2 linked regions of the Ovis aries genome follow. The protein of the gene in region 2 purifies or fractionates together with the protein of the main gene of each other region. This does not show direct contact. Links are inferred from orthologs where the notes say so. Each region holds a gene or a part of one and is shown on either strand. Other genes may lie near its edges. The genes, in order: LYN and GP6.

The links.
Region 1: the proteins of GP6 (region 2) and LYN purify together in Homo sapiens (affinity purification with western blotting; 5 studies listed by BioGRID and IntAct, with this or other methods). This does not show direct contact. The link is inferred for Ovis aries from reciprocal best matches to the Homo sapiens genes GP6 and LYN.

The regions. Positions count from the first base shown.
Region 1 is NC_056062.1:36,185,072-36,200,239, forward strand, and holds the start of LYN (tyrosine-protein kinase Lyn), read left to right. Parts: upstream 1-2,215; coding exon 2,216-2,284; coding exon of another isoform or gene 2,285-2,347; intron 2,348-5,930; coding exon 5,931-5,976; intron 5,977-7,115; coding exon 7,116-7,221; intron 7,222-9,370; coding exon 9,371-9,469; intron 9,470-9,591; coding exon 9,592-9,695; intron 9,696-10,052; coding exon 10,053-10,202; intron 10,203-11,602; coding exon 11,603-11,755; intron 11,756-15,168. UniProt on the Homo sapiens protein: Non-receptor tyrosine-protein kinase that transmits signals from cell surface receptors and plays an important role in the regulation of innate and adaptive immune responses, hematopoiesis, responses to growth factors and cytokines, integrin signaling, but also responses to DNA damage and genotoxic agents.
Region 2 is NC_056067.1:63,163,480-63,179,122, reverse strand, and holds the end of GP6 (platelet glycoprotein VI), read right to left. Parts: intron 15,364-15,643; coding exon 15,310-15,363; intron 13,710-15,309; coding exon 13,650-13,709; intron 12,077-13,649; coding exon 12,026-12,076; coding exon of another isoform or gene 12,022-12,025; intron 10,525-12,021; coding exon 10,286-10,524; 3' UTR 8,129-10,285; downstream 1-8,128. Other genes in the region: NLRP2 (NACHT, LRR and PYD domains-containing protein 2), read left to right, coding at 1-29, 1,458-1,622, 3,004-3,174, 3,516-3,686, 3,897-4,067, 4,685-4,855, 7,294-7,432.

The sequences.
Region 1 (15,168 bases), on a different chromosome or scaffold from region 2:
GCTGGGGCAGGGATGTCCCCTTTCCCTTTCCTTGCCTGTCTTGAGCGGGAGGGGCTGGGATGAGCACGCTGGAAGCCCAGAGTGCAGCACCCTGAGCACTTGGTGCATCCCTTCTTTCCATGAACCCTTGAGCACCTGCTCGGAGTGGCATTACAGAGGAGAAACAGGCTGGGAGCCCAGCCTGTCTGCTTCAGAAGATCTGAGGAGGCAACATTTGGGTCCAGATCTGGAAAAAAGACAGAACTGGAGTGTGTTAGAGTCTGGGAGGGTCTAGGGAGACAAGTGGGCCTCCGGGAAACATCCTGGGGAGAGGTGCACAGACGAGGGATGTGTGTGTCCTGGGGACCCGCTGGGCTGCTCCTTTCACAGTTCAGGGAGCCACTGGTGTCCACTAGGGTTGGCCTTTTCCAATACCAACTTCCCTCCTTCATGCAGCCCCATTTTGATGCGAATAAGTTAAAAACACATTTTTTTTTGAAGGGTAGGAGTAGGGGTGGAGGTGGGATGGGTCAAAAAAGAGCTCCCCTGTTTATTTACAGATCAACTAGAAAACCCATCCCATTTCAGAAACTTTAGCACATGAAAGAAAAAAAATACTGTGCTGTTTTGAGTCAAAGAAGTACTTGCTTCCCCTTTATTTTGGGAACTACAGCTCGCTAGTTTCAGCAAGAGGCGTGACCGTCTTCAGAGGCTTCCTATGTCAGCCAATGAGAAGATAAACAAGGCGGTGGTCGCTGATGCCTGTGGGACCAGAGGCAGGCCGAGCCGGGGCAATGGGGATGAGCTTCTGAGGCTTTTTTGACCCATTCCTCCTCTAGGAGGAGTTCCTAACTCCCATCACCTGCCTTCCCCACGTGAAACCGTCCTTGTTCTGTGATGTTCTGGGCAGGGGTCCCCTTTGGCAGTGCCTGAGAATGACAGTCACATTGGAGTGCCCACCCCACTGTGCCCCTGGAGAACTTCCTGGACTGTGTCCAGGGAATCTGCTCTGTGAACCTAGGCGATTCTTGTGTGCCTTTAGGTTCGGGAACACCACCCTCCCGAACCTTGTAGTGGAGTGCATACAGATTTTGTTTTGTATTTAATGTATAAATTTGACCATGAGGCTGTGCTGTGAGGAATAGTCATATCCAATTTCAGTTTTAAAGTCGCCTTTAGATCTAAGTTCCCAGTTTGCTTTGGGTGGCACTCTGCACATCCTAGTATAACTGAATAGACAGAAAAGAGTTTAGCCTTTAGAAGGGTGGTTCCGTCTGTCTCACTGGTTGTGCTCAAGCCCCCTTCTGTCGAGGTGTCTCTCCTGAAGCCTTAAGCTGGCTGGCGGCACCCTCTGTGCCTCTGGCTCTGACATCTCTCCTGTTTTCCACACTCACACGTCTCACTGGGACGTCTACAGATGTGATCGTGTGGGTGTTCCTACAAGCATCTATTCTCCGTACCTGTGTCTCCTCTTTGATTTCCAGTCTCCGTGAAGGCCACCACCATTGTCCCAGGCCCCAAACCACATAAGGTTGGAGCCACCCTTTATGCTTCCTGGCTCTTCCTCATGTTTGCCTTTGAAGCCCCAGGTCCCCTCACTTCACCTTGCACAGTGACACTTGTCTTCAGCCATGCCTCCCCCTCCAGCCCAACTCTTGGACTTCCCTACTTGTTCCCTGAAGGGTTTGACTTGAACTAGTTCCCTGAAGGGGCCGTGTTCCCGGGGCCCATACTTTGCATGTGAAGTTGTCTCTTCCTGGAATCCCTTTACTGACTCTGCCACGTAGCTGACATCACTCCCATTCTGACTCGAAGCGTTTCCATCAGGACACTTCCCCTGCCCACATCCTTTTCCTCTTGCCTGAGGTCAGTGTCCTTTCCTGTGTCCTGTGCATCCTCTGTCGTTGACCTGCCACGTCACATTGTTGTTTTAATTCACACATCTTCACCACAAGAACAGGAGCGTCTGTAGGGCAGGAATTCATGCTGACGTAAAATCGATGCTCAATAAATGGTTGTTGAATGAATGAGTGAACAGATTATGAACAAGCACCTGGCTTGTGAACGGTCTTCACCTCTTTGACTTGGTTAAATCATCAGCGATGAAGACTAGAAGTGTGCTTGCTGTTGTTGAGTCGCTGTTACCTTCTCTCTATTAATGGAGAAGCTTCGGTGGCTGGAAGCCAGTTCTGGAATGGTAAAACGATGCCGTTGCTTTTGTATTCCAACAGGAACTATGGGATGTATAAAGTCAAAAAGGAAAGACAATCTGAATGACGATGGAGTAGATTTGAAGACGCAACCAGTACGTAATACTGACCGAACTATTTATGTGAGAGATCCAACGTCCAATAAACACCAAAGGCCAGTAAGTAGATAGTCTCAGGGGAGCGTTCCCACGGCAGGATCAAAACATGGCTGCGTAATTTAAACTCCAAATCTGTACCATGTGCATGCCAAAAAAAAAAAAAAAATCATGTTAATTACTTGGGCCTCAAATAATTTTTGATATACTTTGTAACTTAATCCTTTAAAGAGTTTATAAATATATTCGAGACAACCAGGTCACTTAATGTACAATAAAGGGGCCTTTGGTCACCTTCTTATGTGTGGCGATTATCACCTTTCCTGTCACTGGTACAAATACCCTCTCTTTATATGTAAAGACACGTATACGAGCTTGTGTGACTTAGGATGGGCAATAAGATTAGTGGTCTGGAAGCAGAAGGAAATGCTGAATTCTAGTCGGAAGCCAAAATAGGTGCTAATATGCCCTTTGGTAGATGTTGGTGTCGTTTAGTCACCCAGTCACGTCCAGCTCTTCTAGACCCCATGGACCATAGCCCACCAGGCTCCTCTGTCCATGAGATTTCCCAGGCAAAAATACCGGAGTGGGTTGCCATTTCCTTCTTCAGAGGATCTTCCTGACCCAGGGATCAAACCTGTGTCTCCCACGTTGGCAGGCATATTTTTTACCGCTAAGCCACCAGGGTAGCCATCATACTTTATCCCATCATGTTGTTCTTCAATTAATTCAAACTAGTATGAACACTGAAGTTGTCATGACTTATTATAGAGAATTAAAAGATTTAAGCCTTCTAACGTAGGACAAATATCTGTACCAGCATTTTTACATGATGGATGTGCTCTCTGATGTGTTTGAGAAATGCTTGGCAAAGAACTAATACCACATTTCATGGAAGAAAGGAACAGAGCTTTGGATAATTACAACCTTAAATGCACTTTACTTCAGATCTTAGGTCCTTTCTGTTTGCTCACTGTATATATGTACATCCCCCATTGCCTGGTTTTTATGGAAACCAGTGTTTCAGCGTTTAAGCTGAAAGCAGCTTATTCCACATGAGTCCAAATGCCTTCATTAAGAGTTTTCATTGTTTCTCTAATCTGACATGTTTTTAAATGCCTTGGCATTCTCGAAGTATACCATTGTTGTCACTCCCTGTACCAGCCCCCTCCCCCACGTTCGCCCTTATCCTGCAGGTATGGTGTGTGTCAAGGTCACATGTCATTGTTGAGATTGGTAAGTCGGTGTTGGCATTCTTGCAAAAAAGTAGAGATGAAAAGTGAGGACATTATGCTGTTAATTCCCTACATATTTCTAGACAGATAAATTAACATTAATTTAGGAACTTCCCTGGCAGTCCAGTTTTTAAGACTCTGTGCTTCCAATGCAGGGGGCAAGGGTTTGATCCCTGGCTGGGGAACTAAGATCCCATAGGCTGTGGTGCACAACCAAAAAAGAAATTTAAGAAAAACATTGTGGACTTCCCTGGTGGTCACTGGTTAAGAGTCCTCCTGCCAATGCAGGGAACATGGATTTGATACCCTGTCCAGAAGGACCCCCATGCCAAAGGGCAGTTAAGCCTGTGGGCCTAGAACCCGTGCTCAAGAGAAGCCGCTGCACTGAGAAGCCTGTATACTGCAGCTAGAGAGTAACCCCGTAACTAGAGAAAGCCCATGCACAGCAATGAAGACCCAGCACAGCCAAAAATAAAGAAAAAGATTTTTTAAATGTTGTAATTTTATAACAGAAACTCAAAATGTACAAGATTATTAATAAGTTTTATAATTTAGTTATAAATACCTATAAACATAATATTCAAAAAGACATCACATAAATAGGTATAGATGTGGAGCTATGCTATGGAAATATGACTAACAGAAAATGAAATGATACAAGGACTTGGAGTCACAGATAATTTTCTCGTTATAGACTTCAAAGGTGTCATAAAAAGGACCTGACTTTTTCTAGTGTCATGTGCTGTAGATTTTACATGGTTTACAATCCCCCATTTTTTGTTAATGTAATGAAAGAAGATGTCCTTCATTCAGAAAAGCAAAGGAGACCAGTACAAACTTACACACCATTTTTCCTCTTGCCAAGAGTAAAGGAGGTTAAAAGATAAGTTCGAAAGCAGAAGTAGGAAGCATGTTTGAAATCTCTCAGTTCCCTCATGCACCCCCGGAGCGCAGCACACTCCACCTTCTCTGGTCACAGGTGCCCTGGTTTGTAACTGGGCAGTTGGGCCTTATTCCATGGATAACATTCAGTTCCAGCCAGATGTGCCCGAAACACACCCCTGGATTGATTACAGGCTGTATTGTGTGACAGCAAGGCTGAACTGACACAAATTCAATAACACTCTAAGGAAAAGACATTTTAGAGAAGGAAAGTGGTGACAGATGAGGTCTATACATGTGTTTTGGCCTTCTGAAGAATGTGTTCAATCATTTGTCAATTAAGGACTCTTTGACATTTGAAAATCAGCTTGCTGCTCTCAAAATGATTTAATCAGTCTCTCATCTTCTAATTGTTTCCTCTAACTCCTTTAAAATTGATCATACATTCTAATTATGCAAATCTGAATGAGTTTAAAAATCAGTATAGAACTCCTTGAAATAAGTATTGAAAGATCATCCGGAGCCAAGAGTTTCTGAACCAGAAAAACGTAATCCCCTGCTCCCCGCCCCTGGAGATTTGATGGGCTGACTTCCATCAGAAATTTAAATTTCAGTACAAGCTGTTTTGGTTCATATTCCATTCAATCACGTTAATCAAAAAGAAACACGATAAAACCCGGGAAGTCTCGCACATCCTCCCCATGTCAACGAATGAAAAAGGAATTTGATTTCCAAGGTGATTGGGGTGGCCTTTTGTACCATCAGGCCCTTCCTGATCATTCAGCTCCAAGCTAAAATAACAGGGATGCCATCTGTCCCCATAGCAGAATCGGGGTCAGCCACAGGAAGCCTGGATCTGTTAGGACTTGTTCTCAGCTGCCAGTGACCAAGCCCTTACAGCAGCTTTTAAAACAAGTCTGGGAAAAGTGAAGATCAGCAGTCCTGGCCTGGGTGGCACTTCCACAGGGTCACCAAGGACCCAGGTGGCCCCTAGGACCGCTCTCCATCTTCTGCTCTGCTGTCTCTGGTCACTGGTATCCATGGCTGCTGAAAGCCCAGCTCATCACTTGCTTCTGGGCAGAAAGAAGCAGCCCAGGGAATAAGAAAGCCGATCCCAAAGCCCCATCACCTGCCTGCAGGTCAACTCCTTGCCATCTGCATAGAAGGCTGGAGAATTGGGAAGCATCACCATGGAGCTGGGCAAACCGCCACTCCTAAGGTTACTTGGGCTCTGGTACTGAATCAAGGGGAGGGAGCCTATTGGCTCAGCAGCGGCTCAGAATGTCCTGTCACCCCCAGGCCAGTGGCTGCTGAAGAAGGAAAAGCCCTTCAATGGTTGGGGCGGGGGGCAAGGATCGGAATAGAGCTCCGCAGGACTGTTCCTCTGCACTCCTCTTCTTTCTGGCTTAATAAATTAACAAATCTAAACCCTATTTGCTTCTGTTCAAAAATGACATAACATACAGTATGAATGTGAGCATAAAATGCTAAACATAGAAAATATTTTTCTGATGAATATTCTCTCTTAGGTTCCAGACTCTCAGCTTTTACCAGGACAGAGGTTTCAGACTAAAGGTATGTTTTCATAACGCCATGGCAGTTTCTTTTCTTTACTGTTCAAGTCTCTGTAAAGTAGTTGTCCTGGGTGTTTTTGTTGATTTTGTGGGGGCAGGCGGCAGGGTGAGGTAGAAAATGATACTTTTATTGCTTTGCCAGGCAAAGGGAGACACACTAGGCTTCTGCCTTGAAAAACTATGTGTCTCCGAATTTTTTTTTAATTGTGGAAAAATAGACATAACATAGAATTTATCATTTTAGCCATGAAAGTGTTCAGGTCAGTAACATTAACTACTTTCTCATTTTTGTGCAGCCATCTCCTCCATCCATCCATCTCTCCATCTGGGATGATGAACTTTCCATCATCTCAAACAGAAACTCTGTGCCCATCAAACGCAAACTCCCATCCCCCATCCTCCCGGCCCCTGGTACCCCTATTCTACTTTCTGTCTCTATGAGTTTGACGGCTCTGGGGATCTCGCCTAAGTGGAATCAAATGGTATTTGTCCTTTGCGGCTGACTTCTGTCACTTAGCATAATGTCTTTAAGGTTCATCCATGTGGTAGCAGGTGTCTGAATTTTGATTCCTTTATTCTGTGGTATGTATACACAGTGTCTTCGGATGGTTTTCCCCTTCTAACGTTTGTAAACAATGCTGCTATGAGCACAGGTGTATCACATTTTAAACCTAGAGCTGGAAGTCATTGAGGTCCTAGGTCTCTATGATTTGAGATGACAGACATTGTACCAGTGTGCACAGTGTGTGGCCAACCATGGACCATGTGGACCCCGAGCCATCTGGGAGGAAAACAGGTCCTCTTTCCAGCTGCCTGTTTCCTCAGTATATCCCTGCACTCTGTGCCCCATGACAAGGTGTTACAACATTTCTGCTGTGGATTCTTTTTTTAAAAAAAACTTTATATTTTGTATTGGGGTATAGCCGATTAACCACATTGCGAACAGGGAAGGTGAACAGTGAAGGGACTCAGCCATAGGTATACATGTATCCATCCTCCCCCAAACTCTCCTCCCCTCCAGGCTGCCACATGACATTGAGCAGAGTTCCCTGTGCCATACAATCAGTCCTTGTTGGTTATCCATTTTAAACATTCTGCTGTGGATTCTTAAAGGTCTTTGCTCGCCTTGTTCATTTTCAGATCCAGAGGAGCAAGGGGACATCGTGATTGCATTGTATCCGTACGATGGCATCCACCCAGACGACTTGTCCTTCAAGAAAGGGGAAAAGATGAAAGTCCTGGAGCAGTAAGTGCAACTGGATGTCCCTCTTCTATGGCACCAAGTCCCGAAGCCTATCCCCCTCCTCGGGCTTGGCCGCCAGTGGCACGGCAGACACCCCTCTGGGGGTGGGCATGGAACTCCAGCCTTGTTGCTGCCAAAAGGAGCAGGGCCAGAGGGATTTTCCTCCTCGGCTTTACTGTGAGCAGTTCCCAAGAGTTTTTCGTTTGAAACCAAACACCATTGTCTTTCCTTATCCATCTGTGCTGCCTTAAGAGGCTTAGATCTATGTAGAATTTGCATTTCTTTTTTTTAATGTTTTTAAAATTTATTCTTGACTGTGCTGGGTCTCTGTTGCTGCTCTCTGGCTTTCTCTAGTTGCTGTGAGCAGGGGCGACTCTCTAGTTGCAATGTACAGGCTTCTCACTGCAGCGACTTCTCTTGTTGCAGAGCATGGGCTCTAGAGTGTAACAGGCTTCAGTAGTCGCAGGGTACGGGCTCTCTAGTTGTGGTGGGTGGGCTTCATTGCCTCGAGGCACATGGATCTAAGTTCTTAGATCAGGGATCCGCACCGTGTCCCCTGCATTGGTGGGTGGATTCCTAACCGTTGAACCACCAGGGGAGTCCCTGCATGTTCTTTTAATGTCGTTTTTACTTTGTTATTTTCCTCAAATTCACACTGAGTGTATGGGTCCAACTGGGTGTGAGTCATCAGGGTGGGGCACCGAGGCAGCGGTCATCTCCGGGAAAGCCCCTGCTCAGCACTTAGTGCTTCTGTGAAGATGTTTGGACATCGTTTTCTTGACCCCTCCAGGTTGACTCACAGGGCTCAGGACTGAGCTGAGAATAAGGAACTTCAGTAATTCTACTACTCCTCATATAGCATCACCTTGGCCTGCCAACAGGAGACCCTTGGTTGGCTGGAGGAGAGAGGCCCTTATTAAGTATAAGGTGTTGAGTAGCTGAGAGGGGTTGTCCATTACTGGCTGAATGTGAACTTGAGCCTCATTCTGTCCTTGCCACTTGATCGCTGTGTGACCGTGACAAGTCATTTTAACTCTGTATCTTAGTGTCTCGCTTGGAAACCAGAAATGGCTTATGTGTGTGTGTGCCTTTTATAAATATGGCACAGGCGTGTAGTGTACCACAGCCGAGTGCCAGTTGAAATTGTCCTTCATGTCTTGCCAGATGAGGGTCCCATCTGGGTGTGGGAACCTGATGGGAACACAGCTGAGGCTCATCCGTTGGCGACCATCCGTTCCTCCTTCCCCAGCTCCTTCCCTGGCTCCATGCCTCTCGCAGGAGATGTGAGGTGGTAATGAGGCTCATCTGCTTGGGACTGATCTATGGTTTTCTTTTTTGTCCCATGGCATCAGCCTATGGACACTAGCTATTTCAACAAAGGCGTTTATAACTTAAGAACTATGACCTTTTATTCCCTTGACTCCCATTTCTGTAAGTGTGAAAAGTGAAAGTGTTAGTCATTCAGTGGTATCCAATTCTTTGTGACCCCATGGACTCCTCTCTCCTGGGAATTCTCCAGGCAAGAATACTGGAGTGGTTTGCCATGCCCTCCTCCAGGGGATCTTCCCAGCCCACATATCAAACCCAGGTCTGCTGCATTACAGGCAGATTCTTTACCCTCTGAGCCACCAGGGAAGCCCATTTTGTAGATATCCCCGGGGAAGTTAAGAACTCTGTTTCTGCAAGATGGAAACCATTTTCACCAACTCTTATGCAGCAGCTCTGAGCACAGAGACCCACACCTCAGTCCTGAGGCTGTTTTCCTTTGCATCCTTCACTAAACATATTTGTATTTCATCAGGACACATTAACTTTCCCCCTGCATTCTGGGGTCCCAGGGTCTTCCCTACTGTCCCACACCCCTCAAGACAAACACCTTAAGACAATTGCTCTTGTAGTTCTTGAGTCATTGAATACAAACCCTTTTTTTCTTTTTATAATGCGTGTTTATTTGGCCACGTCGAGTCTTAGCTGTGGCGTGTGGCCCGTTTCTTGGAGGCACAAGCACTTGCTAGGCTGCCCCATGGCGTGCAGGATCTTAGTTGCCTGGCGGGGGATTGAATTCATATCCCTTGCATTACAAGGTAGTTCTTAGTCACTTTACCATCAGGGAAGTCCGACAAACCCTTTCTGATGCAGGTTTCTATTCCAGGCACGGAGAGTGGTGGAAAGCCAAGTCCATTTCGACAAAGAAAGAAGGTTTCATTCCCAGCAACTATGTGGCCAAAGTCAACACCTTGGAAACGGAAGAGTGAGTCCCCTCGTGGAGTGGTCTGGAGTGGTTCTGTGTGACATGCTGGATCTCTTGCGTTTTCTTCATCTTTTTTCTCCCCGGGATTACAACAGCCATGGGATGTTAATATGTCTTCACAGGTGGTTTTTCAAGGATATAACCAGGAAAGATGCAGAAAGGCAGCTTCTGGCCCCAGGGAACAGCGCTGGAGCTTTCCTGATCAGAGAAAGCGAGACATTAAAAGGTAGGAAGTGACATAAGGCCTCTTATCAAATGCTGTTTAGGAAATCATTCTTAGAAATGATTCTAGAATTCTGTTGAAAAAGAATTGTGGGCAGATCTTGTTTTATTGAAGTATAGTTGATTTACAGTGTTGGGTTAATTTCTGCTGTATAGCCAAGTGATTCTGTTATACATATATGCCGTCTTTTTCATACTCTGTTCTGTTCTGGTATATCACAGTAGGACTGTGTTGTTTATCTGTCCTATGTGTCATAGTTTGCATCTGTTAATCCCAAACTCCCAAAACTTCCCTCCCCATAATGCCAATCTTGTTTACAAAATATAAGTGTAATCTTTGCTTGTAATTCTTTCTCTGCAGGAAGTTATTCTCTGTCTGTCAGAGACTGTGACCCTGTGCACGGTGATGTGATTAAGCACTACAAAATCAGAAGTCTGGACAATGGGGGTTATTACATCTCCCCACGAATCACTTTTCCTTGTATCAGTGACATGATTAAGCATTATCAAAGTAAGTGAAAACACAAGGTCAGACAAGAAAAGAAAGATACATCTGTTATGATACATATATTATGTCAAACTTATATAAAAAATTTTTGTATCCTGAAACTTTACAGAATTCATTGACGAACTCTAGTAGTTTTCCTGGTAGCCTCTTTAGAAAGAAGAATCATATTTCTTTTGGATAAAGTTGCAGGATCATATTCTGTAACTGGTCCTAAAGTAACCTATAACTATACATTCAACAGTGGTACTAGTGGTAAAGAATCCACCTGCCAATGCAGGAGACACAAGAGACACCCATTCAGTCCCTGGGTTGGGAAGATCCCCTGGAGGAGGAAATGGCAACCCACTCCAGTATTCTTGCCTTGAAAAGCTCATGGCCTGAGGAGCCTGGTGGGCTATACAGTCCATGGGGCCACAAAGAGTCGGACACGACTGAGCAGCTAAGCACACACAAGCATTCAAAGTCAGATTTGATCTTTGTGTATAATTATCCTAGTCCTTCCCACCTAGCCTGTGCTGTTTAACAGTTAATGTTCAAAAATTACAAAGATAGAAATGACTATTATTTTCATATAGTGCATGATTTTACAACACATCTTTTTAATATCCAGGCTAGGAATGCAGATCTGTAGATCTGTGTTCTAGTGTAGACATATGTATGTGTGTGTATAAAAGTAATACGTACCCTTGGTAAAAGAAAACAGAAATTACAACAATAACACCAAAACAATTAGAAGTGGCCAGTCAGTGGTCCTTCGTCCCCAGTTTGCCCTACAGCCTTGCTAGGCTGATCCCCTGAATAGCCTTTAGGTATATTCCCTTTGTGTTTGAGATCAGTTGTAGTGGGAAGCTGTTACTGCTTATTTCTTCAAGCTGCTCTAAGGTAATACACATAAACTTTGCTTATGTCCCCAAGTATGGAGAGAGCAAGTACTCTAGAGTAGTAAGTCCTTCCCTCTCTCTACCCCCATCAAGTTATTCGTCTGGCACATGTGTTGATTACTTGTGGAGCCCTGGCTCTGTTCTGAGGCTGGGGGGGGGGGGGTGTCCCCTGGTGACCTGACCAAGTTCCCACCATTGTGCCCTGAAGAGTTTACACAGACTCAGTAATTAAAACTATAGTCTATTAAGTGTGACAACCTGCCAGCCTATGTTTGTCTATTTATTTTATTGTTTTTATTTTCATAGATTAGTATTACTGATGAATCAAATCAAGTGCATCTTACATTGTCTTTCATTTAAGAATTTCAAGTCATGGTTTCACAGAAGATACACCCATAAACATTTTAAGTTTGTAGACCTTGGCGAGTTGGAAATGATAAAACTCATAGTTCAGATTTCTCTGTAGATACTGGTAAAATACAAAGGATGACTTTTCCACATTTACTTTCTCTTTGAAATTAGAGCAGTCAGATGGCTTGTGCCGGAGATTGGAGAAGGCGTGCATTAGCCCCAAACCACAGAAGCCATGGGACAAGGATGCCTGGGAGATCCCCCGAGAGTCCATCAAGCTGGTGAAGAGGCTAGGCGCCGGGCAGTTCGGGGAAGTCTGGATGGGTGAGTGTGTGGCTTTGGAGCCTGAGTCCCTTCTGGAGAAGTAAGGGCTCCAGCTGATTTCTATCAGTTTTCTCAGAACCATTGATGCTTTCATTTCCCTCTGTCCACCGGGTGCCAAGAACAAGCCCACACAGTCCTCATGATTAGACTCTTCATCTTCTCTGAGACTTAGGCTTTCTCTTGTTGGATGAGTGTTTACAAGGAAGGGGCAGTGGGCGCTTATCCTGGCTTATCTGTCTACTCTTTCTGACTCTCTCATCAGCAGATTCTTTGGACATACGGTTAAGTGCAGGCATCTCGGGGAAAGGAACAGTTGGGCGCCTGTGCTCAGTCACTCAGTCAAGGCTGACTCTTTGCGACCCTATGGACCGTAGGCCACCAGGCTCCTCTGTCCATGGGATTCTTCAGGCAAGAACACTGGAGTGGGTTGCCATGCCCCCCTCCAGAGGATCTTCCCAACCCAGGGCTCGAACCTGCATCTCTTGCATCTCCTCTAATGGCAGACAGGTTCTTTACCACTAGCACCACCTGGAAAGTCCATAATTAATTCTTACTGTGCTGTAATTCTCTGGGAACATGATAATGGAATCAGGCTAAATCATGAGTACACAGCCTCACCTTGCTCACTGGGATCTGTGTGAGTACGTGGCACTCTTTCCAATCAGGTCCACAGACCGGGGGCGTGATCTTGCTCTAGGTGTGCCTCTGTCCCCCCTCTGCTGCCTAAATCATCACCTCCTCCTCCTTGCTCTGTTCACCTTTCCTTTCTTATTGAAGTAAAATTCATGTAACATAAGGTCAGTCAGTTTACAGTGAACAACTCACATTCATATTGTACAGTCACCACTTCTATTTAGTTCCAGAATATTTCCATCAGTCCAGAAGGAAGCCCTGTACCCATAATGCAGACACTTACCCCCACGCCCTCTTCCCCAGCCCCTGGACACCACTCTACTTCCTGTCTCTATGACTGTGATACTCTAGGGCTCTCGCATCAGTGGGATCCTACACACATTTGTCCTTTTGTGTCTGGCTTATCTCCCTCAGCATGATGTCCTCAAGGTTCACCCGCATTTGTCAGAATTTCTTTCTTCTATGAGCGAACACTATTCCATGTATGGGTATGCCACAGCTTATCTACTTATCTGTTGCTGGACCTTTGGCTTGTTTCCATCTTTGGGCTATTATGAATAATACTTCTTTGAACATTCATGTGCAAATTATTGTGTGGACAGGTGTTTTCATTTTCTTAGGGATATACATTCTCCTAGCAGTGAAATTGCTGAGTCACATCATTCTGTGCTTAACTTTTTAAGGAACTGTCTTAACTGGGATCTACTCATTTTTTAAAAAATTGTCACCTCTTTCTCCCCTGAGATATTTGCATTTATTTTTTAATATAGTTTTTCCAAGTCCACAGAGTAGGAGCAGGTATAATATACATTGTATCTTCTTCACCTAGATTCACCAGTTAATATTTTGCTATATTTCCTGTATCATTTCTATACATACACACACAGACATGTTTTATTTTTGCGGAGCCACTTGAGAGTAAGGTGCAGATGCGACGCCCTTCAACCCTGAACGCTCACGCAGGCGTCTCCTCAGAGGACTGTGGTACCAGGCCGCACGGTGGTCACATTCAGGAAGTTCTGCACTGATCTGCAGAGTCTAATGTAGAGTCGACATCCTAATTCCCCTCATTGTCCCAGTGATGTCCCCGGGGCTGTTGGAATCTAGAGTTTGCTTTTAACTGATCTGTCTGTAGTCTCCTTGAATCTGGAAGAGTCCCTTGGCCTGTCTCCATCTTTCATGGCAGGTTTTTCCTTTTGTAGAACGTCTCTCATTTGAATTTCCCAGTGTTTACCATGACTTTGTCCAGATTATGCCCTGGGTCACGAATAGCATCTAAGTACTAAGCGATGCTGTGTCTTCCTGCATCCCTCAGAGGCACAGAATGATGGTTGGTTCCATTATTGCCTACAGGCCAAGGAGGGAGGGCAGAGTCCCTAGTTCCCAGACTGAGCGGAGGTTGGAATAACCATGTTTGGGGTTGGGTGGGGGCGCTGGGGAGGGTGGAGGCGGGTCAGAGGACAGACGCTGCTGCTTTTAGAGAGGTGATGGCTTCTAAAAGGGATGAGAATCAGATGAGCACGTGATGCTGAAACCATCTGAGGATAGCACTTTTGGATATTTAAACAATTTTAAAGAATCTCCCCTAAGGTAATGAATACATCAGTTACAACAGGGAATTAAAATGTTACATTTAAAATAGAGAAATCTGGTAGACCTCCTTAAAATCAAACAGAACAACAGCATCTTACTCTCAAGTGGCTCAGCAACAATAAAATAGGGATGGTGTAAAAACAAGATGAGGTGATGCAAGTAATCATTTAATATAGTTGACAGCATTTAAGAACTGTTGTTATTATTTTAAATAATTATATTATGAAGATAGTCTGATAAATTAGAGCAAAGACTATGACATAGAGGGGAGAAATTGCCCAGAATGTCCCCCCTCAACATGAGCTGTTTCTTGGGTAGTTTCAATTAAACTTTTTATTTTGAGATAACTATCGATTCACACGCAGTTGTCTGCAATAATACAGAAATGAAAATATCTGTTCACACAAACATTTTTATACAACTGTTCATAAGTAAGAGCATTATTCATAGTAACCAAAGAGTGTAAACAACGGAAATGTCCATCAGTTGATGAATGGATAAACAAAATGTGGTGTTTCCTTGTGATGGAATATTATTTGGCAATAAAAAGAAAGCCCTGACACATGCTACATGGATGACTCTTGAAAACACAATAATAAAGAAATGAAACCAGACACAGAGGACCATGTGTTAGATGACTCCCATTTATGTGAAATGTCTGTAAAAGGCAGTTCTGTGGAGACAAAGGAAATGAGTGGTTGGTTCAGGTGTGGGGGATGGCAGTGTAATTGTTAATAGGGACCATTTTTGGGGGGTGGGGACATGAAAATGTCCTTATAATTGATTGTGGTGATGGTACCACAAATCTGAATATACCAAAACCAATGAATGGTATGTTTTAAATGGGAAGGTAATGTGGCATATAAATTATATTTCAATAAAGCTATTATAGATGTAAAAGAAATAATACAGAGAGGTCCCATGTAGCCTTTACTCAGTTTCTCCCAAAAGTAACATATTGCAACACTATAGTATAATATCACCGCTGGAATGTTGATGCTGAAAGTTGTTTGTTTTTAAATGGTGCTTTCCTCCTAGTTTTGTATTAAAGAAAGAAAAGAAAGAGAGGGAGGGAGAGAAGGAAGGAAAAGAAAGAAGAGGAGAAAAATAGTTTTGCTCTGGGGTCTTGTGCAAGTGTGGTTCTGTGAACCTGGCTGCCAGCCAGGGAGCTCTTCCTTCGCTGCTGA
Region 2 (15,643 bases):
TGTGCTGCCTCTAGTCTCCAGAAAGTGGTGTAAGTAGCAGCTAGTCCCTGGATTAAAACTTCCAGGGCATCTCCAAGCTTCTTACATTTTTGTCCCCCTAAGACAGCAATTTAGTTAGAATTTTCCTGGATCTGAGGTTCGTTTGTGTAGCTAGTCCTCTTTGGGTATTTTTTTCTCAACACAGAGAAATAAGAGCTCTTCCCACTTTGGGTTTCATTGGCTCTGCAGTCCTGATTCTAAGCCCAAGAGCATTCCTTGGAGTCAAAGTATTCAGCAGGCTGTTAACCAACATTTCAGAAATGGAGACTTGATTGAGATTAAAACGTGCTGATTTGGGATCATTTAGGACCACAGCCCAAGAGACACAGATTCAGGAAATGCTTGAACTGTGTTCCCCCTGACTACAAAATTGAGGAGGTTTATAAAGCAGAAAATGCAGTGTTACAGTCAGTTACCTGAGTTGTTTATCAAGAATTATAATTGGAGCTGGCAAGAAATAAGAGTGCTCCTTGAGCAAGGATTGCTTGGGGTTTGAAATGGTTACATAGTTACAAGGGGAGATTGGAGGGACTATAAGAGTGGGGTTGGAGGGTGGTGTCCTTGGGCTTTTTAAGAAAGTGCAAGTTCTCAGTGATGCAGAGAGGTGTTTGAGACCAGATTCTCAGTAGCCACCTGACTCCAATTTTGAATACCTGAACTGTGATTCCTCCATTATAATTTTGTCATCAAGAACATAGCATTGTTGAAATGCATCCATTGGTAACACTTCAAGGAAAAGAGATGCTGCCTTATCTTTCTCAAGAAGCCATAGGAGAACAGCTTTTGTCTAAAATGACTGCTTATGACTGACTTCCCTTTGGCAAAAGTTTGAAACAACTAAAGAAATTGGAGCTTCTACTTTCATAAGATCTGTCTATCATCTATCTGTCTATCCATCTATCCATCCATGACATGACAGCTACTAACAGCTCAGATCTTTTTCTTCTATGAGAAGAACTGGATAATTAAAGTTATTTCCTGCTTTAAAAAAAAATGAAACTTGAGCTTCTAATTGTAATGAGCTGTTCATTAAACAGCACAAAGTTTCAGGTATGCAAGATGGTAAGTTCTGGTGACCTGATGAACAGCAATGTGATGACTGCTAACATTACTGCTCTAAATACTTGAAATTTGCCAAGACAGTTCATCATACGTTGTCCTCACCACAGAAGAAAAGAAGGAAGGGGATCTGTGTGCAGTGGTGGCTTGATAGTAGGGGTGACTTCACAAGGTACTTGTATATCAAAACATGGAGTCATGTGCTTTAAATATACACAGTTTTATCTGTCAACAGTATGTCAATAAAGGAAAAAAATGAAAAAAGTCAATTCTAACATTTAAGCCCATGGCAGCTCTTTATTCTATGTGTATGCAGTATAGGTATACAAACTCCAGCTAACATCTGTTTCTTTTCCCAGCCTCAAAAATATTTCCCCAGCTGACACTTATCGGAACTTCTGCATGGCTTTTGGTGGTCACAAGACTTTAACACATCTGACCCTTCAAGGAAATGACCAGAATGACATGCTTCCCCCATTGTGTGAGGTCTTGAGGAACCCCAGATGTAATCTGAAATATCTCAGGTATATCAGCCTCACCACTGCTGAAAACCCTCAGCCTGTGAACAGAGCTAGCACAAACCTACATAGCAATGCTGTGCAAATCAGAGGGGGCAGGAATCCCTTATTCTGACTGGATACCCCACGCCAGTACTCTTGCCTGGAAAATCCCATGGATGGAGGAGCCTGGTAGGCTGCAGTCCATGGGGTTGCTAAGAGTCAGACACGACTGAGCGACTTCACTTTCACTTTTCACTTTCATGCATTGGAGAAGGAAATGGCAACCCACTCCAGTGTTCTTGCCTGGAGAATCCCAGGGACGGGGGAGCCTGGTGGGCTGCCATCTATGGGGTCACACAGAGTCAGACACTATTGAAGTGACTTAACAGTAGCAGAGTCAGAACGACTTAACGACTAAGCAACAACCACCACCCCTTAAGGCACATGCCCCAGAATAGAAAATGAGCTGGAGGGGACTCCCCTGGAGGTCCAGTGGTTAAGACTCCATGCTTCCCTTGCATGGGGTGTGGGTTCGATCCCTAGTCAGGGAACAAAGATCCCACATGCCAGGCAGCGTGGCCCACCCCGCCCCCAAAGAAAGAAAAACATGTTACCTGTATTCTACTCCTAGAAATGCATTTTCTTTATCATGATACTATATATTATGTTCCAATAAAGTTTTATTTGCTCATGATGAAGAATGTGTACCTCCAGGAATAGAATACGCATCTGCAGATAGAATATAGTTGCACAATATGCTCAGGTGGCTGGATTTCTAAATAAGTAGTTCTTGGTGTGTCATCTCCAGACCACCAGTAGCAGCACCATCACTGGGGAACTTGATAAAAAGGTCCAAATTCTTGGGTCTCACCCAGATTCTTCAGAATCAAATTCTGGGTATATGGTCCAGGAATTTGTTGAAAGACATCTTCCAAGTGACTGCAGGATACCTTAAAACATAGATCGCTGGCCTCTACATCTAGAGTCTCTAGATGATTTGCATTTCTACACAGTTACCAGATGGTGCTGATGCAACTGGTCCAGGAATCACACTTGGACAACCTCTGCTCCAGATAATTTAGTCCAGGGTTAACATAATGGCATACTAAGTCATTTCAGCTGGGTCCAACTCTTTATGACCCCATGGACTGTATCCCACCAGGCTCTTCTGTCCATGGGATTCTCCAGGTGAGAATACTGGAGTGGGTTGCCATGCCCACCTCCAGGGGATCTCCCTAACCCAGGCATTGAACCCACATCTCTTAGTCTCCTGCACTGGCAGGTGGGTTCTTTACCACTAGAGCCGCCTGGGAAGCGCTAACATAACAGAGTGAGACAAAACTGTAGACAGTTGTGTGCCCAGTGTCTGGTCCTCATGAATGCCTTGTTGCCATTTCTCCTGCAGGTTGGTGTCTTGTTCTGCCTCCGCTCAGCAGTGGGCTGATCTCTCCTGCTGCCTCAGAACCAACCAGTCCCTCACATGCTTGAACCTCACAGCAAATGAGCTCCTGGATGAGGGAGCCAAGTTGCTATACATGACCCTGAGATATCCGACGTGCTTCCTACAGAGGTTGTCGTAAGTCTCTCCTCTCTTTCCATCGAGCGTCTTTGTGGTAGATGTAGGGTCACACAGAGAAGAGAAGAGGTGGCACCTGGAATTGCTGGGTGAGCAGGCTGGAGCACCCCACTGATATAGACGCCTGGCTCCCACTTTTGGCCCCAGACAAATGGCTCATCTGACTCACCCTTCTCTCATTCCTGTCCCTTTATGACCACGATCACTAGCACACCACTGACAGAGGGCAGAGAATTAACAAAAAGGGGTGTGACCGAGGACTCTAGTCATTGAAGACAGTCAAGAAAGTTGGGTCCTGGAAATGCTTTCACCATCTGGCTATCTGTGTGGTGCTTTTGCAGGTTGGAGAACTGTCACCTTACAGAAGCCTATTGCAAAGATCTGTCTTCTGCTTTGATTATCAACCAGAGGCTGACCCACCTGTGTTTGGCCAAGAATGCTCTTGGAGATCGTGGGGTGAAACTGCTGTGTGAGGGCCTGACTTACCCTGAATGTCAACTGCAAACCCTGGTGTAAGTCTGTGCTGGCTGTGTGTGTCTGTGTGTGCGTGTGTCGTATGTATACATGCATACTGCATTCAAGTAGCGCAGTTTCTAGTTACAGTCTCCAGCGTCTTCAAACTCATCTAAAAAGCCATGGCTTGAGATAGATGGTCATGGTTTTGGTGTGTCTCACTGGTGAGGAAAAAGAAATTTTTTTTCTTCATGTGATCTGATTTCTAGGCTATGGTGTTGCAACATAACCAGCGATGGCTGCATTCATCTCTCGACACTCCTCCAGCAAAATTCAAGCCTCACACACTTGGATCTGGGGCTGAATCACATAGGAATTATTGGACTGAAGTTTCTGTGTGAGGCTTTGAAGAAACCACTGTGTAAACTAAGATGTCTATGGTGAGTTACCGTTTTGTGAACTTTAGTGTGTATCTAAAAGGTACTATCAATATAGCAGACCTCCCCCGCAATTTTCATTGAGTATTTTAAAAATTCCACCAGGATGGGGCTTTCCTGGTGGCTGAGTGGTAAAGAATCCACCTGCCAATACAGGGGACACGGGTTCGATCCCTGATCTGGAAAGATCCCACATGGCACAGGACGACTCTAAAGCCTGTGCTCTGGAGCCTGTGAGCTGCAAGTGCTGACGTTTGCACACCCTGAGCCCATGCTTCCCAACAAGGGAAACCACTGCAGTGAGAAGCCTGAACGTCATAACTAGAGAGTAGCCCCCACACGCCGCAACTGGAGAAGGCCCGCACATATCAGCGAAAACCCAGTGCATCCAAAAGTAGGCAAGTCTTTAAAGAATAAATACAAATTAAAAATTCGACCAGGATGGCATTTTTCATACCCACACGCAAAATTTAATCCCCAAATTCATAGTGAACCACGGAAGACCCCAAATCAACCCTGACCACAAAGACCACTACCACCCAAGTGTGTGCCTGGCACATGGGGTGATATCAACAAGCATTGGTTGAGTAAATCAGTGAATGTGTGTGTTTCACCTACAGGTTGTGGGGATGTGCCATCACTCCCTTCTGTTGTGCAGAACTCTCATCTGCCCTTAGAAGCAATCAGAACCTGATCACGCTGGACCTGGGCCAAAATTCCTTGGGGTCCAGTGGAGTAAACATGCTGTGTGATGCCTTGAAACTTCAAAGTTGTCCCCTCCAGACACTCAGGTATGATCCTCCTACTCCCCTGAGTGTTTGCTCCACGATCCTAGGTTATGGGGGAACACAAACTATAGGAATTTGTTGTAGGCATCTAATGCTCACATTCAACTTTCATTTATTGATGTCTGGTTATGAGATAATTTTCCCATAGGTTCCTTCCGTTGTTTTGACAGAGAAGATGAGTCGAAGGAGACAAAAACTCAACCTGGAAACCAAGAGGCTGGACTTAGGGTTTGTCTACCTGAGGGGGAGTTGTGGCGGCCAGCGATTGTCTCATTAGGGAAATGGAATCACAGCTCTTATATGGTGTTCTCGGAAAGTTTGTTTGTGGACTGTATTAGTTACAGAGGTCCAGTGGGTCAATGCCAGACTTAGAAGCATGTTCTTTGGAGTGAGTTTGCTGTCTAATCGAAGTAATCTGTGATCATAGAAGCTATCAGCAACTGCTTGTCTTCTACTTGCTCACTGTTCTATTGTTCTTGCTCTATTGCTGATTTGCTGCTGTGGCAACAAAGAACCATAAAACTCTTCCCAAGAGTGTGGGAACTTTTTTAAATCCTCAAATGCAACCTAGACAATTAACGGCTTTTGTTGTTGTTCATCCACTAAGTCAGGTCCGACTCTGCAACCCCACGGACTGCAGCACCCCAGGCTCGTCTGTCCTCCGTGATCTCCAGAGTTTGCTCAAATTCATGTCCATGGAGTTAGTGATGCTATCTAACCACCTCATCCTCTGCTACCCCCTTCTCCTTTTGCCTTCGGTCTTTCCCACCATCAGGGTCTTTTCCAGTGAGTTGACTCTTCGTATCAGGTGGCCAAAGTATTGCAGCTTTGGCTTCAGCATCAGTCTTTACAATGAATGCTCAGTGTTGATTTTTTCAGTATTGACTATTTGATCTCCTTGCTGTCCAAGGGACTCTCAAGCGTCTTCTCCAGCACCATCCTTGTTCTTAGAGTAACATATTTGTATCTTCTGATCTGTTCTTCATATCCCATTTCTGATTCCTTTAACACTTTCAACCACACACAGATCATCTGTGGGACTATTTTTTTGTTTTTCTACCAAAGACTATGACCAACCTCTGACAATCATGAATAGACACAACTACATCTGACCTTGAAGGGTCATGTTTTAAATATTTTGAAGCTAGTTTGCCTATATTTTAGCAAAAGTTATATTGATTGCTGACAAGGCTTCTGCTCAAGCTAGCTTAAGGTTGATGGGGTACATGAAGTTTGGGGACAGGGGTGGTCTGTCAGCTTTACTGAGATATAATTAACAAAATTATATATATTTAAGGTATGCAATGTGATATTTTGATGTATGTATATATTGTGGAATGAGCATCACAATCAGTGTAATTAACACCCCATTGCCTCACATAGTTACATTTGTGTGTGTGGTGTGAACACATAAGATCTACTCTCTTAGCAGATATCAGATATACAATACAGTATTATTAACTATAGTCACCAAGCTGTACATAAGACCCCCAAAACTTTTTCATCTTATAACTGAAGGCTTGTTGCATGGATATATTGTGAAACTCAAACAACAAAACAGATTTTGATTAATATGCCAGCAAAATCGGGACTATAATGCCAATCAGAAACACGGCAGCCAATATCCTTGGTCTCCTGGTTTTATAATTAAATTATAATTTTAATTTAATTATTCCCTCTGCTTCCCTGGTCCCCATTTCCACATACACATGACTGAATATGGTTACTAAAAGGCAAATCGAAGAAATGAGACTGGTCTTATCACAGGTCACATACGGGGTGGCAGTTATCTAGAAGCTCGTAGCCAAGGAGCATAAAAAGCTAATCCCACTGACTTAATTCAAGTGTGTCTGCCTGATCCTGGATTCACTAGATAGAAGTTATCAATGTTATGGAATAGGTAGGTTTTAGACGGACATCACAGAGGTATTCATCAACTCCATCTCTAGTGCCAAGCATGATATGATAATCACCCAAGATCATTCAAGCACCCAAAGCTATGCAGTGTCTTTATACCATCACAGTGTTAACCCAGGGCTTCCCTGGTGGCTCAGGGGTAAAGAATCTGCCTGCCAATGCAGGAGACCTGGGTTTGATCCTGGCTCAGGAAGATGCCCTGGAGAAGGAAATGGTAACCCACTCCAGTATTCTCACCTGGGAAATCCCATGGACAGAGGAGACTGGTGGGCTACAGTCCATGACTGTACAGTCAGACATGACTTAGTGACTACACCACCACCACCACCAATGCTAACCCAGTGGCATCTTTTTTCCTGACCAAATTGATCTGGAACTCTACTTTGCAGCATAGAATAACCAATGGAGATGGCCCTTGCTCTGTAAATCCCTAAATCATGAGCTTTGCCAGGCACCTGGGCATTTGGAGTGAAGTTCCTCAAAGCAATAAGAAAATGTTCTCTCTCCCACATTCTACCTCCTAGGTTGAAGATAGATGAATCTGATGCTCGAATCCAGAAGCTGCTGAGAGAAATGAAGGAAAGCAACCCACAGCTGACTATTGAGAGTGATCATCGAGACCCAAAAGATAACAGACCTTCTTCTCATGACTTCATTTTCTGAATCCCCCTGGAGCCATTCATTCCCCAGTAAATTCCTAGATCATCAAGGTGATGGTGAACTCCCCAAGATCCTTCTCAATGTTGTTAGTTGCTTAGCCAGATGTTAGTTTAGCCGTGGTTGAGCCTCTGGTTTACATAAAACATACACTCATCACTTAACCCTGGGGTGGATGGAATGTCTGTGTCTTGAGGATATCAAGAAAAATAAAGGTGAAAGCATTCATGAGTGAAGTCTTATTTATGAATGGATTTCAATTGAACTTAGAGAAAAGCTACTTTATTCAGGGAGAACTTAGCCCAGGGGTGAGGGAATGGGAAAGAAATGTTGGTGATCACATTGATTTGTCTGCGAAGTCATTGCCCAGATCTGGTATTTCTTATCTGTGTGGCTAGATACCTGACAAGTCTTCCTCATTGGAGTATTTCTCCTACTAACCCGGAATATTTTGCAGGCCTCTTAGGTGCTTCAATGGCCTTCCCTGGTGGCTCAGAAGGTAAAGGATCTGCCTGCAAGGCAGGAAACCAGAGTTTAATCCCTGGGTCAGGAAGATCCCCTGGAGGAGGAAATGGCAACCCACTCTAGTTTTCTTGCATGGACAGCAGAGCCTGGTGGGCTACAGTCCATGGGGTCACAAAGAGTCAGACACGACTGAGCGACTAACACACACATACATGAAGTACATGCATGATGCCATCATTGCTCTGATTAACTTTTAATGATTCCATGTTAATGATTTAATGATTCCACAGAAAACAGAACTTCATGGTATGCATAGCTCTTCTTACAGCCCCCAGAATTCCCTTGTGACATACAGAAACCCCAAACTCCTTAAAGCAACAGTACAAGAATTACTTTTTTATTAGAACCTTTTTCTTTTAATTGAATTATAGTTGATTTACATTGGTGTGTTAATTTCTGCTGGTCAGCAAAGTGACTCAGTGATATATACATCTATATATTCCTTTTAATGTTATTTTCTATAAGAATTACTTTCTTATTAAGCACTATTTTCTTCCAAACCTTACTTCCTTCTAGATAGTTCCTCTAGCCCAAGTGGCACAGAGGGCACACTGGGGGCGGGCTCTGAGCTCAGAGTCGCCAGGAAGGCAGGCAACCTGGGGGCTGGCAGTGTTGGGGGAGGGGCCAGATCTTGCCAATCTTCATCACAGCTCCTGGGGGAAGTTCCCTAACAAAGTCAGGGTCTGAGATTCACTCTGGTAGGAACTGGAACCCCAGATGTGTACCAGAGTCATACTCATGGGAGAACCAGACTGGACTTCATCTGAAGACTGTGTCAGCAACAGAGAGGCTTCTGTTTAGCAGGAGGGCACCCAGCTAGGTGCCGCAGTCTGGCAACAGGAAAAGGGAAGTATTTCTGACTTATGTCACTTACCTCCCTAGGACAAGTGACCCCACACAGACAGGGATGGATGTCAGGTAGTAAAGTTGGGTTGGTTTGGTTTTTTTTTTTTTCCTTTTTATTAAGGTGAAATTCATGTAAAATAAAAGTTACCACTTTAAGGTGAACAACTCAGTGCCATTTAGTACGCTTTGTTATGAAACCACCACCTCTACCTAGCTGCAAAAGGTTTTCATCATTGCAAAATAAGAAAAGGAAAAAAAATCACTGATTAAGTAATTACCCTCATGCTAGGAAAGATCAACGGCACAAGGAGAAGGGGGGTGCCAGAGGATGAGATGGTTGGGTGGCATCAGCAACTCAATGGACATGAATCTGAGCAAACTCCGGGAGACAGTGAAGGACAGGGAAGCCTGGTGTACTGCAGTCCATGGGGTCAAAAAGAGTCAGACACGACTTAGCGACTTATCAACAAGTAATTACTCCCTATTTCTTCCTTGCCTCAACCCCTGTCAACCACTAGTCCACCTTCTGTCTCTATGGATTGACCTATCCAAACCTTTAGGATAAGCTTAGGACTTTGGACTTTTTTTCTAATATAAAGGCAAGTCATTAACATGCTGCTTATAATTATTATTATATTCAAAGGGGAAAGAATAGAAGACCCAAAAGCCTGAAAGAGTCAGGTACAACCCAAGAAACAAAAAGATGTTTTTTCAGACTGTAGCTTAAGACAGTGTTGGCATGAGGGTTACATTTGGGGATAATCAGAAAAAAGAAAAAAAAAACCTCAGGAACTGATTCACTTTCCTGCATACCAGAAACTAACACAACATTGTAAATTAACTTACATCAATAGAATTTTAAAAAGAAAAACACACAAGGCAGGTGGGCAACGGGGACACATGGGAGAGTTTTGGGCAGAGGATGGATTGGGTCAGCTGTGAGAGGGGGTGATGTCAGAAGTCAATCCTCAGTGGGGAAAAGAGGGTGGGACGAACTGAGAGAGCAGCCCTGAAACACATACCCTACCACGGGTAAAACAGATAGCCAGTGGGAATTTGCTGTATGACATGGAGCTCGAACTGGTGCTCTGTGAGAACTAGAGGGGGGGGAGGTGGGAGGGAGGTTCGAGAGGGAGGGGCCATGTGTATGCCTATGGCTGATTCCAGTTGCTGCATGGCACAGACCAACACAACACTGTAAAGCAATTGTCCTCCAATTAAAAATAAATAGAACGAAAAAAATTAGTCCATCTGGAGGGACTTCCCTGGTGGTCTAGTGCTTAAGACTCTTCTTTCCAATGCAGGGGGCGTGGGTTCAATCCCTGGTTACAAAACTAAAATCCCCGCATGCCTCGCAGTCCGCCCCAAAAAAAAAAAAAAAAAATGGCAGTGAGCAAGACAACAGTGAGTAGACTGTGGCTCTCATAGTCCACTCACGCTAGGTCCCCTCCCCACTCGCGCGACCAAGACGCAACCAAGCCTGAGATTCTAGTGACGGAAGCCTCGGTTGTGACCGTCTGGTCGACCCCTATCCTGACGACCCTTTGGTTTCTGGGTCTGCGGGAGGGGTGGGAGTGGCCTGTGTGCAGCTCTGATCCGGTGCATCGTCGGAGGTTTCCTTCGGCTGTGCCAGTCTTCTGCCAGAAGCCCCGCCAGGAGAATCAGAATCACAGCCGCAAGGCATATCCGGGCCAGATTGCCCTTGGTGTAGTGCTGGAGGGCAAGACCTAGAGGAACAAGAAGAGACAGGAGCAGATGATAAAAGCCCAGCTCCAAGGGGACTTCCCTGGTGGTCCAGGGGTTAAGACTTGACCTTCCAATGCCAGGGATGCAGGTTCAATCCCTGGTTGGGGAGCTAAGATCCCTCAAAGCCAAAAAACCAAAACATAAAACAGAAGCAATACAATGAAGACTTTAAAAGTGGTCCATCTCCAAAAAAATAATGATAATAGTCTTGGGGCTCCCCTGGTGGTCCAGTGGTTTAAAATCTGCCTTCCAATGCAGGGGGACACAGGCTGGATCCCTGGTCAGGAGACTAAGGTCCCACATGCCACAAGCCTGTGAGGCTTGACTACTGAGCCCAAGCACCACAACCAGAGAGAAAACCACGTGCCATATCAAAGATGCCTCAAGCTGCAACTAAGAAGCAGCCCAGTCAAAAATAAAAATCATAAATAAATAGTGAACAAGCAAACAAACAAAGCTCCTCTCCAGAACCCACTCCAAGCCACATACTGGGTTTGTCACGGCCAAATCCTTCATCTGAAACCCTATTACTCTCTGCTAGCTAGAAAAGCTATGACAAACCTAGACAGCATATTAACAAACAGAGACATTACTTTGCAAACAAAGGTCTGTCTAGTCAAATCTATGGTTTTTCCAGTAGTCATGTATGGATGTGAGAGTTGGACCATAAAGAAAGCTGAGTGCTGAAGGACTGATGCTTTTGAACTGTGGTGTTGGAAAAGACTCTTGAGAGTCCTTGCACTGCAAGGAGATCAAATCAGTCAACCCTAAAGGATATCAACCATGAATATTCACTGGGAGGACTGATGCTGCAACTGAAACTCCAATACTTTGGCCACCTGATGCAAAGAACTGACTCATTAGAAAAGACCTTGATGCTGGGAAAGATTGAGGGCAGGAGGAGAAGGGGACAACAGAGGATGAGATAGTTGGATGGCATCACCAACTCCATGGACATGAGTCTGAGAAAACTCCAGGAGATGGTGAAGGACAGTGAAGCCTGGCATGCTGCAGTCCATGGGGCTGCAAAGAGTCAGACACAACTGAAGAATAACAAGCTAGGATGCCAACCTCCTTCCTCAAGGATTCCTCTCATCTTCACCAAGCATCAGGACTAGATAAGCCCCATTCTTTGAGTAGCATGTCTTCCACTCACCCCCTCACAGGCCTCTGATACAACTTCTCCCCACACACAGACACTACCTGGTTGTTTGGCTGATTGTGGAAGAGGAGACTATCATAAGGGGTGGTGCAGAGATGAAATTTCCCTTCTTCTGACCTTTTAGATAATCTCCACCTTCACACTGGTCTTTGCCCAATTCTGAGCTCCATATGCTAACACTACTCCTCCCCTTCTTAGCTGACACACCAGAACCCAAGACCAGAGAGCTGCAGCTTCTCTGCAGGGAAAGCAGCCAGTTTGGGGTAAAGACATGGGCTAGAGGGGGCAGGAAGCTGGTCCAGAGAAGGACACTTACTCACCAGTTGGAGGGTCTGACTTCTTTGGAAGGACAGTGATATTCCTAGAAGCCTCTGGGAATCAAAAACAATAAGTGTAAAGAGGTGGAACCATCTCTTCTAATCCTGTTTCTACCCAATCCTGAACAGCTGCACTGAGGGGCAGAATTCCAGGTTTTTAAGAACAGTGTGAACCACAAAGGGCTTCTCTGATGGCTAGGTGGTAAAAAAAAAAAAAAAAAAAAGCCTGCCAACGCAGGAGACACGAGTTCAATTCCTGGATTGGAAAGATCCCCTGGAGGGGAAAATGCCAACCCATACCAGTATTCTTGGCTGCGAAATCCCATGGACAGTGGAGCCTGGTAAGCTACAGTCCACGGGGTTGCAAAGAGTCAGACATGACTGAGTGAGTCGACAACATGAACTGCAGAGTCAGAGTGTTCGGATTGGAACCTCAGACTCATCACTTATTAGATGTGGATAGAATGACAATGTTAGTCACTCAGCCATGTCTGACTCTTTGCAACCCCATGGACTGTAGCTCATCAGGCTCCTCTGTCCATGGAATTCTCCAGGCAAGAATACTGAAGTGGGTTGCCATTGCCTTCTCCAGGGGATCGTCCCAACCCAGGAATCAAACCCAGGTGTCCTGCATTACAAGTAGATTCTTTACCATCTGGCAAATGACTTAACAGCTATGGGGTCAGTTTTCCTACTCCTCCTGAGAGTGACTGGGGACCAAGAAGGGTTTTGAACATAGGATGGAGAAGAATCTCCTCAGAGTCTTGGAAAGAACCTGCTGGAATCAGGAACCTAAAGTGTGTGGACCCCATGAAGATAGCTAAGGAATCCTCAGGGAATCTGCCAGGGTTTTCTGTCTTGAAGGAAAAGGAAACCCTCCCTAGAGAAGCCAAGGGCAAAGAGCACAACAGTGGGAGGGACACCTAACTGCCCTGGACTGGAGGATGTACTGTGTCCAGAGAACTACAATCTATGCGGGGCTGAAGCCCAGGACCGTGCCTGGAAGCAATGGCAACACAGCTACATCGATCAGAGCCAAGCTGGAAGAGCACACACCAACGGGATTTCCCTGAGGGTCCAGTGGTTCAGACCCTGCACTTTCAGTGCAGAGGGCGTGAGTCTGATCCCTGTTTGATCCCATGCAGCACAGCCCACAAATTAAAGAAACAAAAATTCAGAACTTACTACCCACGTAGAAGCGTTCTTGTGGCAACACACTTAGTGAGAGAAAGTCCAAAAGAAAAAGAAGACCACCACAGTGCTGGGGACGGGAGGGAGGCTCAAGAGGGAGGGGACGTGTGTAGCTGATTCACGTTGTTGTACAGCAGAAACCAACACGTCGTTGTAAAGCAGTTGTCCCTCAATTAAAAGTACATTTAGAAAAGAAGAAGAGCCCAGTGTAGGGATGCGTAATGGTGTCCCCACGGCAGCCTCGGTGCCGCCACCTTGGAAGCAGCCACGTTTCCCAGAATGCTCCTCTTCCCCCGAGCTCAGAGCCCAGCTCCACCCGACCCTCGCCCTCAAGTCGAGGACTCTCCTGGGAAGAGTCAGGTGGTTTTGAGAAGCAGCCTGAAAGCTGACAGCCTCAGATGACGGAAGAGCGAGCTCTGAGTGCCTGGTTACTCACCAGTTGTGGAGGCTTCCTTTGCAATCGAGTGGTTCAGTTTCCTGGAGGCTTCTGTGAATTCTAAGCAAGACGATTATAAGAAAGTGGGTAATGCCGGGTCTGTTCCGTGAGTCCCTACTCCCCTCGCCCCTTCTGAGCTATCCGATCTTCCTGGAACTCATTCATCTACCACACACTGCACAGACACGGAGGAAAGACAAACTCGGAAAGCCCAAGATAAACCCGTCTTCTACTTCTGAGTGGCTTCCTGAGAAACAGCTCCATTCATCCACTGACGGACATTGGGTTACTTCCACGTTGGGGCTGTTGTGAATTCTGCTACTATATGAACATTCACATACAAGCTTCTGTGTGAATACACTTTTTTAAATTTTCTTGACTGTACATACTGAGGGTGAGGGCTTCCCTGTTGGCTCTGCGGTAAAGAAACTGCCTGCAATGCAGGAGACCTGGGTTTGATCCCAGGTCCAGAAAGATCCCACATACTGTGGAGCAGTTAAGCCCCTGTGCTACAACTATTGAGCCTGTGCTCTAGAGCCTAGGAGCTGCAACTACTGAAGCCCACGTGCTCTACAGCCCATGCTCCGAAACAAGAGAAGCCACCACAATAAGAAGCCCGTGTGTCGCAACTAGAGGGTAGCCAGCGCTCTCCACATCCAGAAAAAAAGCCCATTCAGCAGTAAAGACCCAGCACAGCCAAGGACAAATAATTTCTTTTAATTTTCTTTGAAAAAAGGTAGCACTATTGATTCACGCAACAACTTGGAAAAATCTCAGGGGTATTATGATCAGTTCAGTTCAGTCACTCAGTTATGGCCGACTCTCTGCAACGCCATAGACTACAGCACGCCAGACTTCCCCGTCCATCACCAACTCCTGGAGCTTGCTCAAACTCATGTCCGTTGAGTATTATGATAAGGGGGGAGGGGGTGGAGACAATCTTAAAAAGTCCCATGTTGTATGATTCCATTTATATGTAACATTATCAAAATGATAAAATTAAATCTAGGAAGAACAAATTAGCCAGGGGTTAGGGATCAGGCGATGGCACCCCACTCCAGTACTCTTGCCTGGAAAATCCATGGACAGAGGAGCCTGGTAGGCTGCAGTCCATGGGGTCACTGAGGGTTGGACACGACTGAGCGACTTCACTTTCACTTTTTACTTTCATGCATGGAGAAGGAAATGGCAACCCACTCCAGTGTTCTTGCCTGGAGAATCCCAGGGATGGGGAAGCCTGGTGGGCTGCCACCTATGGGGTCGCACAGAGTCGGACACAACTGAAGCGACTTAGCAGCAGCAGCAGCAGTAGGGATCATGGGAGGGGAGAGGTGTCTATAAAGGTGGGACCTTCAGAATATCTTTGTGAGGATGGAATAGCGCTTTTTGTTTTCTTCCCTTGGAACAGTATTTTGAATGCAGTGGTAGTTATGTGAATCTTTGTGATGAATCGACATAGAACTATACGTATATATTGTGCCAATGTCAGATTTCTGGTTTTTCTGTTGTGCTGTAATTATGCAAGAAGATCCCCTGGAGGGGGAAATGGCAACCCACTCCAGTATTCAAGCAAATCGAGAAATCTAGACTAAGAGGAAAAGGATAACGGGGTTCCTGTGCCTGTATACCACAGACACAGGGTGAATGCTCTGAAACCTACCTGTCGCAGTGGAAGGTGGCTCCGTGGGCAGCCAAGTGGGGGTCACAGAGGCCCCTGAGAAATCAGAAAAAAAAAAAAAGAGAGAGCGATCTGTGCACTGTTATGTGTGGTTCCTGAGCAAACCCGTTTCCTCACCTGGAAACTAAAAATACGGACGCTTCCACCACTGGACTGCGGTGAGTCTTAAACAGCGTTTGAAAGGCACACCTAGCACATTCTGGAGCTAATGAATGACAATCCCTGTAGCTGCCTTCCCTACTTTCCAAACTGCAGTCCTGTCCCTTCTTCTGGATCCCTGCAACCTGCCATCTTACAGATCCTGGGAACAAAAGTG